Arabidopsis thaliana: one gene and its partner. The protein of the gene in region 2 interacts with the protein of the main gene of each other region in a pairwise test. Each region holds a gene or a part of one and is shown on either strand. Other genes may lie near its edges.

The links. Proteins that work in one complex are often made in the same cells at the same time.
Region 1: the proteins of PLA2A (region 2) and AT5G41920 interact in binary tests that used the Arabidopsis thaliana proteins (3 or more experiments, as listed by UniProt).

What each region holds. Positions count from the first base shown.
Region 1 is NC_003076.8:16,777,357-16,783,091, forward strand, and holds AT5G41920 (GRAS family transcription factor), read left to right. Parts: upstream 1-2,286; 5' UTR 2,287-2,625; coding exon 2,626-3,843; 3' UTR 3,844-4,068; downstream 4,069-5,735. Other genes in the region: AT5G41908 (uncharacterized protein), read left to right, coding at 1-82; MED10A (Mediator complex, subunit Med10), read right to left, coding at 804-875, 965-1,054, 1,128-1,233, 1,312-1,392, 1,465-1,676; AT5G41940 (Ypt/Rab-GAP domain of gyp1p superfamily protein), read left to right, coding at 4,683-4,900. UniProt on the Arabidopsis thaliana protein: Probable transcription factor involved in plant development.
Region 2 is NC_003071.7:11,291,328-11,297,807, forward strand, and holds PLA2A (phospholipase A 2A), read right to left. Parts: upstream 4,592-6,480; 5' UTR 4,382-4,591; coding exon 4,244-4,381; intron 4,161-4,243; coding exon 3,792-4,160; intron 3,706-3,791; coding exon 3,544-3,705; intron 3,316-3,543; coding exon 3,013-3,315; intron 2,933-3,012; coding exon 2,760-2,932; intron 2,664-2,759; coding exon 2,585-2,663; 3' UTR 2,375-2,584; downstream 1-2,374. Other genes in the region: HO2 (heme oxygenase 2), read right to left, coding at 257-349, 434-541, 938-1,020, 1,109-1,190, 1,324-1,547, 1,625-2,099. UniProt on the Arabidopsis thaliana protein: Possesses non-specific lipolytic acyl hydrolase (LAH) activity.

The DNA.
Region 1 (5,735 bases), on a different chromosome or scaffold from region 2:
ACATGGTGTCACTGAAAACTGGTTTTCTGCAGCTGCAGGAGAACCAAGTATTGATATGGAGACTATAAAAGCAGAGCCATAGTGTCTGATTAAACGAAGCAGAGCCATAGTATCTGATTAAACTACAAATCTGTATGATCCCTTGGTAGTTGAAATAGTAAAAGCGTGAAGGAAGTGATCAAAGACATTTATCAAAATGTGTTTGTAAGAATGGTTGAGAAAAGGAAATATATCTTTGAGAGCATGGTTTTCGGTGATGAGAACTATTGGAAATAGTAACACAATGCTTAAACACACAGACCATCAATATATAAATACCACCCTCTAGTTGGAGAGTGGTCAAACAGAAGCCAATCTAAACACGATGCTTGTGTAGTTAACATTACTACAGCTAAAGATAATGAGAAGCTTCCTTTAACCAGAGATAAGACAAAAATTGAAATTGCAACCAACTCAATGCAAAGCCATATCACTTCTTCTTTCGGCAAGAAGATTATCTTATACAGAACCAAGATTAATCGTCCTAGTAAAAAGCAAATCTTATGTCTCTGATAGGAATCTATCACATACTAGGTACAAAACCCATCGATAGAACTAAGAGACTAGTCTATTTGTAACCTATGAGTGACTATTTAACAGCCTCATGAGTCATGACCTCAGAAAGCTAAGGAGAAATTCTCAAACTATATTAGTCAAGTGCAAAAGAACCAACGGATGTTATAGAAATTCCAAGAAGGCTTGTTCGTTTACATCCTCATTGATCTACTTGAAAATTTTATTCTAAAAGGCAAGATTCATAGCTCTTATAGCTCACTCTTGACCTTAGCATCCCCATTTGGTAACACACTTTGCGTTTGAGCCAACCGTTTTGCTTCCTGAATTCAAATGAAAATAAATTTATCACCTTGACTAACTATTGTAGAAACTATCTCAGATGAGAAACAAAGGAACGTCAACAACTTACAGCAGCATAACTAGCACGTATGTCTCTATACCGATCGACTTCATCAGGAAAAGCCTGTTCAAGCTCCTCCAAGAGATGTTTTCTCAAACCCTGTACCAAACAATGTCGACTTTAAAATCATGAGTGGCCAAATTGAGAGAACCAGTAGAGCAAAAGGAGTCACCTTAAAAGCATCACTCTTTCCCTTTGTAACTTGATTTTTAGCAATGCAGTTCTTATTAAGAACATCTTTTGTAAACTCATCTGGGTTCTTCCCATCATCAATCAAGCTACAACAAACAAAGATATATAAACATAAGAGAGCAACAAAAATTCTCTAAAGAGTCTAAAAAGGGACTTGTTCTCACTTAAGAACCTCAATGGGGACTTGAATGTTGCATTTATCAGACAACTTAGCCATATTATCAAGCTCCATCACAAGAGAATTGCTGCAGATAGAGACAAAATTTCAATCACACAATACTCAAAACAATGGATCAATAGAGAAGAAGAAAAGTTACAGGCGTTGGAGGAGGTGAAGCTGAGAAGCAGGTGTGAAAGAAGAGACGGTGAGTTTTAATTGATGAAGGAGTTCTAAAATTTTCTGATTCGAGTTTATAATTTGGTTCAGCTTCTCATTTGAATCGTCGACGGTTGCAATTGCATTGATTTCGGTTTTTATCGAACCGTTGATTTCACCAATTCCGGCGATTGTGTTCTGTGTTTGATCCATCACCGAATAACTAGAAACGCGATTAAAACACACACAAATTAGGGTTTTGAATCACGGAAACATAGAGGTTGAGGGAAACAATTTATGTAGAGATCAATTCCAATTGACACAACTGGATGAAATTTCTGGGAACGATGAAACCCTAGGACCACCGACGAAGAAGAAGAAGAAGAAGAAGAAGTTCAGAGAGCGTACATGGATGGATTTGAGAAGAAGATCACAGGCGCAAAGTCAAAGTGGTCAAAAGAAAATTAACAATCGAGTTTTGAATTTGTTGTAGTCATTAATGGGCCTTTGGGCTTTTATATGGTTTTCAATGGAGTTAAGTCATGTCCATTTACGGTTACTTAAACTAATGGGTCTATTGTTTTGAACTTTTGATTTTAAAAGGTGGAGATGGTTCTGAATCTCTCTGGTTAAGTATCAATCCATGAGACCTTTTTTTTTTTTTTTTGAATGAATGTGTGAAATTATATTCAACTAAAACAACTGTTTTACAAATCAAATTCAACTAAAACAACTGACAAATTAAATCTCTCTGGTTAAGTGGTACATTTTTAATGTCTCTAGTCTCTACACATAAACGATTAACATGAGAGTTCACCAAATCTTTTCCAATTGGGTTTGTTCACTTGGTTTCGTTGGTTTTAATCTTCACAAATAAAAAAATGGTTTTAAGTAAATAGAAAGAAAAAAGAAAAGAAAAAAAGAGTAATCGAAGGAGCTGTAATCTTCACAAAGAGCACTTGATTATAACATTGAATCTTTTGCAAAAAAGATAAAAATCTTTTCAAGAAACTGATCCATCCAAAATACTATCTTGTCTTCACTCTTCAAAATTCCTGTCATTACTCTCTCGAACCCTTTCTCTTTTCGAATCTCCACTTTTTTTTCTATCTTCTGCTTCTTCTTCTTCTCTCTTCAATGATTCCACTCTCACAAAATCTCCATGACTACAAAACGCATAGACAGAGATCTCCCATCTTCCGACGATCCTTCCTCCGCTAAACGCCGTATCGAATTCCCCGAAGAAACACTCGAAAACGACGGTGCTGCCGCAATCAAACTCCTTAGCTTACTCCTCCAATGCGCCGAATACGTAGCTACTGATCATCTCCGTGAAGCTTCAACACTTTTATCCGAAATCTCCGAGATATGTTCTCCGTTCGGTTCCTCGCCGGAGCGAGTCGTCGCTTACTTCGCTCAAGCGCTACAAACGCGCGTGATCAGCTCTTACCTCTCCGGCGCGTGTTCTCCCCTCTCCGAGAAACCACTCACTGTTGTTCAGTCTCAGAAAATCTTCTCCGCCTTGCAGACTTATAACTCCGTTAGTCCTCTGATCAAATTCTCACATTTCACGGCGAATCAAGCCATTTTTCAGGCGCTTGACGGAGAAGATTCCGTTCATATCATCGATCTCGATGTTATGCAAGGTCTTCAATGGCCGGCTCTATTTCACATCCTCGCTTCACGTCCTCGAAAACTCCGATCAATTCGAATCACCGGATTTGGTTCCTCCTCCGATCTACTCGCTTCAACTGGCCGGAGACTCGCCGATTTCGCATCATCGTTAAACCTCCCTTTCGAATTTCATCCAATTGAAGGCATAATCGGAAACCTAATCGATCCGAGCCAACTCGCAACGAGACAAGGAGAAGCTGTGGTGGTTCATTGGATGCAGCACCGGTTATATGATGTTACAGGGAACAATCTCGAGACGTTGGAGATTCTACGGAGGCTGAAACCGAATCTGATCACGGTGGTGGAGCAAGAATTGAGCTACGACGATGGAGGAAGCTTTTTAGGAAGATTCGTGGAGGCTTTGCATTATTATAGCGCGTTGTTTGACGCGCTAGGAGATGGATTGGGTGAAGAGAGTGGTGAGAGATTCACGGTGGAGCAGATTGTTTTGGGGACGGAGATAAGAAACATTGTGGCGCACGGAGGAGGAAGAAGGAAGAGAATGAAGTGGAAAGAAGAACTGAGCCGGGTCGGGTTTAGACCTGTTTCGCTTCGGGGTAACCCGGCGACACAAGCGGGTTTATTGTTGGGTATGTTACCGTGGAATGGATATACTTTGGTTGAAGAGAATGGAACCCTCCGTCTTGGCTGGAAGGATCTCTCGCTTTTGACTGCCTCTGCCTGGAAATCTCAGCCGTTCGATTGATTTTATTTTTATTTTATAATGCAAACTGCAAAGTGATCATTAAGATTTTTTGTTTTGAAAATATTTCCAAACAAATTACGATAATTACGATAAAAAAAAGTCTTCATTGACGCAAAAAGTTGTTGATATTGAGAATGAGAAGGTTGTTGATACTAAAAATGAGAAGGTTCATGTTAGATAACTATATGCATAAGAGAGGTTCTTGTTAGATAACTATATGCATAAGAGAGGTTCATGTTAAATAACTCAATAAGCATAAGAGGTTATGACTATACACATATCTGTTAATAAAGTCAGCTACAACAAATAGAAGGTCTAATATCATAGACGATACCACCATGAAAAATCATCATTTCTCATAGTATTCATGAAAAACATCAAGTGGAATTTTTATGAGACCATCAACTTCTTACATTTAGTGAAACTGGTTTTTAATTTGTTCCTTCAATTCTTAAATCAAATCTAGAATTCATACAACTTGAGATTCTTAGAAAATTCAGGATACTTGTCTCTTTTTTCTTCTTTTTTTGTACAATTTTAAAAGAAAGATGTAGTGCAAAAGCCAAAAATCGAAAACAAAAACCAAAAACTAACAAAATAAAAATAAAATGACAACCATTCTTTTTTTTGGGGGGGGGGGGGGAGGAGGGGAGGGGGGGAAAGAAGAAAGAATGACCCAACTGTATGAAGGCCCATTAAAAAAGTGGGCCCAATTTCTATAAACGACCTTCGACTTTTTCAATAATCAATTTTCATCCAATTCAACTCAGGAAATTGCTATGATTTTACTCTGAGAATCAGAAGAAGAAATCTCGGTGAGCAAAATCCCTAGTTTTGGGATGATGTTTCCACGACTACGATTGACGAAGGTCTTCTTCTCCCCGATCATCGCCGGGAAATGGATCGTCTTTGCCGACGGTAGCAGCGGCGGCGGCGTTGGTAGAAATGGCTACTACGGTGGATTGTGGTCGTCGGCCGTTATTCCTTCCAATGTTGGTTTAGCTGTCGCTGTCACCGTCATGGCCGTGGCCGTCGCTTTCACCGTCTACTCTCGTAGGTATACACACAAAAACGATCTGATTTATGTTCTAATCGATTTCTTCAAAGCAAAGAAGCAATGCTTGTTCACTACTTAGTTAAGTAGTTATTTGGTATCCATAGATTTGATTGGTTCTTGCTTCTTTGTTACCTCACCAATTCGAGGCTGGATCGTCATGCCTTTAGGTTCGAAGAATTCTCTGTTAGTTAGGTTATTGTGATTGAGTTCTTGGTCCAATGTTAGCTGCTAACTCGTACTTCCACTACCTCTTCTTGTCATGGAACTTGTAAGACTCTCAGGCTGAACATAGTCCTGGCCATATTCTGTATTCATAGACTCTGATGCGTATAATGATTTTGAGGCTCGAAGCACTAAGGCTTTTTATAGTATAATGAGGGAAAATGTAACCAATGTTTAATGTTTACTTTTAGGTTGTTTGCTGGGTTGTCTCTTTTTGTATGACATGCTCTCTTGGTTAGTATTGAACAAACAAAGTGATTCTAGAAGGGTCCTTAGGTGGAAGTCTGAAACTTCATGAACTTTGTATAAACTCCTAAAGGAACTCTCGATAATCAACTCCCCAAGCTTTGTATTTGTGTTTCTTCTTTTGCAATTTTGTCAGATACATAAGCTTTTTGTTGCTAAATCTCTTATCATCGAATTCAGAAATCTGTTTTTGTTGTTATAACTCTTTCTACAACCCAAGCAATGAAGCTATTTTGTTTAAGTTCTGCATCATAAATATGCATACCATGAAGAGTTGGATCGAATAATTGCAGCCTGATATGATCTTTTGTCTTCTGGTCCTTATTCTAATTCTTGGCATCTCTTGGACTGTTTCTGTATGTAGTGA
Region 2 (6,480 bases):
TAAGCCAACAAATAACAGAAAGTTACTCTTCCAGCCATGTAGGCTGGCTGGTGGTCATCAGCTTCATTTCCAGCACTGCCCTGAATTAGCGAGACCACAATGCTTGCGGTATGCATATTGGAGCAATGCAATCTGCAGGGGAGATTTGATTTTCAGTGAAGAGACAGTTGACAATGAAAGTTTTGAAACTATTCCAGACTTACCGTAGTGAACACAGGTCTGGTGCCGGAAACTGTTAACTTTAAAACCTAGATATTTACAAGATGATCAAGCGAACTATCTGCCCCATATACTTAAATGCCTTTGCCGTTTCCTTCAAGCATTTGTTCTTCTCGTCCCGACTCCAGTGCTTCATTTCCCAAAAGCATCACCAAAACATCAGATTTTAGCAACTGGTGGAATGAAGAGTTATAATTTTCATTGACAATCTGACCTCCCCAAGCACGTTAAGCTTCTCACGGACGCCTTTAAGCAAGTCTTGTGCATCCCCTTCCCACCTATTGAACTCCAGCTCCTTTCCTTCCAGAAGTTTCTCAGATACCTTAATGAATCAACTGATCAGTTACATTTGAACACCTCGCATATAAGGGTTACCAAACAATTATGACAGTCCAAATCATGGGATATATTGATAAAAGTAAGAACCAGAACACAACAGAACCAACAAAAAGAATGTACAGTTATGATAAATCTCAAAAATAAAGACAAAAGCATAGTTCACCCGTTGGTTAATACCACATTAACCTAACTAACAGTCGGTTAACAAGTTCTTTTGGGGCAAGCTTTAAACTAATTGAGCAAGCCTGGTGTTGGTTGGTTTTGGTTTAGGATCTGAGTGTTTCTTTATCACAGTTCTATTTGTAAGTTGAGTCTCAATGAAGAAGAATGGAAATCTTCTCACATTCTCATTCTCATTCTTATCGCCACTCTCTCATACCCACCATAACCGCAAAACTCCCGATAAACCCAACTCTCCTGAATCCACTATATCTATATCAATCTCTAACTCTATCAAACTAGCTGTTACCATTCAATATCCTAGATGTGACATTATGCAGTTGAAAATTTCTTCTATGTTACTCTGTGAACACTTATCAAAGAAACTAACCTGTCTTACAAATAACTTGACCACCAGCAATGTGTGAAAAGTATACTAAAAACCAGCAAAACTCCCGATAAATCGAACTCTCCTGAATCCATTTATATCGATACTAATCTTTAATATATCGAACTAGCTTTAACCATTCAATATGCTGGATGTGACCTTATGCAGTTATATAACTCTTCTATGTTACTTTATGAAAGCTTTCCAAAGAAACTAACCTGTCTTACAAGAACTTGACCACCAGCAATATGTGAAAAGTAGATACTGTAGAAATGAGAAAGAAACAAAGGAGCACTTTCTCCTGCTTGTTCTTCCAAATACTTTGCATAAGAAACTCCTACATTACTTGGTTCTGGTATAACCAAATCTTGTTCTCTTAACCATTGTAGATCCTTCTCAATACTTTCACATCTCTCTAATCCTGTTCTCCTAAAGTAAGCATCTGTACATTGAACACAAACCCCATTAACCCAAATCATTACCAAACTGTCAAATTCGAGACCAAAGTAGGGTTCTTACAAGACACATTCTCAGATTCGTCAACAATTCGTTCAATAGTATCGAAGACAAGCTTGCTATCAACTAAGTACTTAAGAAACCCTTCTTTGCTAGGCTTCCAAGTCTCTTCCTTTACTTCATCATCATCATCATCGTCTTCTTCTTCTTCTTCTTCTTCCTTCTCGGTGTCAGTTTTATCTTCAGAAAGATCTAATTTTTTACCATTAACATTGCGTAATCTCATGGCGACGAATCTCATTTCCTCAGTTATACCAATGTTTTCTCCTGGGTATTGTTTCCTGTACCTTGTTCTCTTCCTCTGTGAGGCCTTTTGTTGTGACGGTGTTGGTGTCGAACGACATAGATTGAGAAGATGCTTTTGTGGCTTTCTCTGAGTTGAGATTTGGAATGGGAAAGAGATAGATGTGTGAAGATGAGAGTGAGTGAGCTTACGAGGTGTAGAGAGTAATGGAGTTGGCCTGAGAAGAGAAGCCATGGATTCCGACGACCAAGATAGACGCTGCCTTCACTTTGATTTCTCGCTTTCAGCCTAATCGACAAACATTGGAAAACCAAACACCCTTAATTTTGTTATTATTTACATGTCATGCCATTAATTATTTCATAACTAGCCTAAATAGGGCAGATGTAAAAAATAAATAGTTTTTTTTATATTTACATTATGCTTAGATTAGTTGATAAGCCATAAAAAAAAGGCTTAGATAATTAGATTAGTTGAGATAACTTTGGTTTCAGTACGTACGTGTCTATGTATTATTCGCCATTATTCTATTAGTATAATGTATGTTGAAAAATGACCAAACATTTTAGAGCATTTCCATCCATTAAATATTTATTGACTTTATTCAAACGTACAAGTGACCACAATGTGGTGCAACCTTTTTATTAATATAAATCCAAACGTGCATTAGTGAAACAAACGAATCATCAACAATATACAAGATACAATAATTGATCTCTTTAGATCCTAATTGGAGCTTTTGCATGAGGTGAACGAATGTCTCGGATCTTCTTTTCTTTTGAAAGTATTCCTGCTAACCTTCACAACCAAAATTTAAATATATTAGCAAAATACTTTTAATCACCTTAAGTATGAAAGAATAAAGCTATAAAATGCAAAAATTGGGCCACTTACTTTATAAGAGCATGTTCATTAGTCGTTTCATAAGCATTTTCGTTACAACCCGAGTCTAGGTTGACTCTTGCAACAGGTTTTTTAAGTAGTTCATCTCCTGTCTTGGCAAGAATGTCCAGATTCTCGACGGTAGCGATATCAACAGAAGCAGCATCCCCAGTTAATGTGTCATCCTATATAATTAATACCCAAATCTTAGGAATTGTGGAGACAAAGAAAAAGAAATGGTTAGTGCGCTAGCTGATTTTGATACCTGGATGCGAATATAGTTGGCTTCGGAATGAAGAGCTCGAAAAACGGCAGAGAGATGGAAATCAACCATGTCGGAGCTAGCTTGCGAGAAAGCATCAATGATAGGTGTAGAGTTGTCGTGTGTTAACCAATTCAATAGTCCCCAACCAGCTACTTCTTTTGCATTGAATTTCTCTTCGGCTTTATGATTTCCGGTTCCAAGCGAAAGCACAAGAAACCTTCCGTAATCATTTGGTCTTATTGGGAAAAAGTCACTGCTTCCTCCTGAGATCTCATTTGTTACTTCCCCAATGGCCAACAAAGCCTATACTTGACATATAACAACTATATCATGATCTATTCAAGATTTTTACAGAAAACTCGTATCGATTATTATAAGAAATTCCATAGTAAAAAATGAAATATAGTCTAACATTGTGTGTTCATGTTATAATTATTCAATTTAAGTCCATAATAATTGTTGATATATTATATTCTTCGTATAAAAACCCTATTGCTACATAAATGATAAATCCAATATTTAGAAATTTACCGGGTTGTTAGCTGCAACTCCACCATCAATAAGATTGTATTCTTTAGCGTTTCCGTTTAAATCTTCAACTTTGAAGAAATGGGCAGGCAAGTATGTAGGGGCAGCTGAAGTTGAGATGGCAATGTCTGCGAGGGTTGCGTCCTTGAGAGGATGGTTTTTTACCTATAAAATAGTCATATATATATTAAACCAAAGTTTTGTTAATTATTATATTGTAATTTCACAAATAGAACAAGCTATAAACAAACCTCATAACTACTAAAGATAGTAGGTTGAAGATGCTTGATATCGAACGTTGGAATGACAACGTTGGTAAGTGTTTGACTCAACTTTGTATCACCCAACTTAGCGTGGATAAGCTGATGAAGGTATTTACCGTCATATTTAGGACCAGTCAAGGACTTCACGAGTTTTTTGGCGGCTGAGAATGGGAAATGATCTTGAGGGAAGATCTTCGGACATTGCTCAAGATAGAAATCTTTAATTTCAGACGCTGCAAATAAGGGTCGGCCTTCCTTATTAGGCGCGGTGAGCATGGCTGTCACTAGACCACCGGTGCTTGTTCCCGCTATTACATCAAAGTAGTCTGCAAGCCTTGCTTCTTCTCCATCCAATTTCTATGCATCCATGTATATATATGAGTTAAGAAAATATAATTTTACAAACATAATATTTGTATAGTTAGGTAGCACATATATACCTGGAGTTCGGACTCGAGAAAACCAAGGATAACGGCAGGGATTAGCCCTCTAATGCCACCACCGTCGATGCTGAGGATTGTAACTAAGTTTCCATAGGTCGGGGGCTGGAGAGGAGATTTGGGGCTGTCCATTTGCATCTTACAGAACAAGCAAAGCAATGTATTGATATTTCTTTTTTTTAATGGATATCAATGTATTGATACTTGAGGAGATAGAACTTTGATTGTGAGATATTATGAGAGGTTAATGAACTCTATGTATTTATAGGACACTAGTGGCTGCTGTTTCAAAGTTAGACCATGTCTTCATTCTTAGGATATTAGCTTGTCAAATTAACTTGCATACTTCGTCCTTTGGTTTGAACTCTAATTCTATTGGTTCTTGTTTCTTCCTTTGTAGACAACATGGACTTTTCGTGAGCCTCTTTACTTCTTCCACATTAAGACCATGTCAACCCTTTTATTACAAAACTACAATGTTTTTTTTTGTTCAAATGAAATTAACTTCCCCATTTTCGGGTTTCTTGGTATGTCACTTTTTTCTAATGAATTCTAAGCTTTATATAATTTTCGTTTAGATTCTGCTCACGAGTTCACACACAAAGGATCGTTCTTCTAGTCACCTAGAGACGATGTTAATGAGAGAAAACAACCTACGATGTAATATTACTGCTACTTATACTTCCAACAATGAATCTTTTGTATAAACAACGTAAGCAACTAAGCATGGTCAATTGGTCAAAGAAGTTACTTTACGTTCAATATATTATGGGGTAAAGACAGCTGTGTCATGGGAGTTTTGAAAAAATCAGTGCCGTGACAAATAGAAAGTTACAAAAAATATCTTTTATGGCAATATTAGAAAATCTTTAGTATTTTAGCCGCCGCTCAATACTTATCCCCCAACACTGCAACTTTCTTTCATTGACCAAATGAAGTCAATTTGTACATACAACAATTTGTTTTTCATTTAACACCCTTAGTTTACTATACTCAATTCAAATAATATAAATATGCATATTTTCCCAGAAAAAATACTTTTATTCTTTCTAAATCCACCAAAATTCAAAAATAAATATTAAATTATTTATTAATAACCTTAATTTCAAGTTTTTTTGTTTATGTAATATTTGATCATTTAAGGCAAATAGAGACATACTCAAAGTCCAAGTTTGATATAATTTGTAAAATTATAATTGATTTCAAAATTTATAACACATCTGCTAGACCGTGAGTAATATTAAATTCGAATTGTCACTGATGGTTAGTCACATATGTAAAAAAGTTTGAAAGAGATTTAAGCTATATTTATTGGTTTTAATAAAAAAAAAATTTATGGTTGAACCTCACAGTTACAAAAATAAAAATATATTAAAAGAAAAGTTTTTTTTATTACAAAACAATTTTTTTTTATTGAGCAATAACTTCTTGATGTGAATGTTTTATTGAGCAATATCGTTTTTTTTTGTGGTGCTCTACCGTAAAATTTCGTAATGTATTTTTGGAACAATTGACAAAGAAAAGAATAGAATCGCATATATTATTATTATTTTCCGCGAAAACACTTAGAAATTTTGTGAGCAATATACTTTTATCCTTTCAAATCACATGATTCGACATTGATATGCTGGAATATCTTTTTTTCTCAAGACATGCAAAGTTGAAGTTTCTTCATCATTGAGTTGATAGAATTCTTTGATTAGATAGATAAAGAGATGGAAAATGAAGTTGACACTTTTATTCTCACCCACCAATGTGAAGTATTTACAATTGGTTGTTTTTTGGATCCCAAATTGCAGTTGAAATGATGACAAGAAAAAAAACTGCGGTTGATAATCACCAATCAAACCTATACTATTATCCCTGTATCCCAATATAAAATCAAGAGTTGTACTTGTAATTATATTTAAGTTTGTCTATTTAAAACTATAATGCAAAGAAATGGTTACATTTGTTTTTTTTTCTTATTCTTTTTCACCGGTTACATTTGATTTAATGTAATACTTTTAGAATTAAATAGATCTTGCATTTCATACAAATTTGTATGTTTGAACATTTGCAAAGTGTTATATTTTATTAAGACCAATTGGAACCCAAAATCAATGAATAATTTTGATACGGCAAATCATCAATCTCGAATATGATTAGTAAGTGAGTGAATGTGTACCAAAAATGACACCTTAATTCGTCGTCGTCATCATCTTATTACAATTATCCGATTAGCAGAATTATTATTT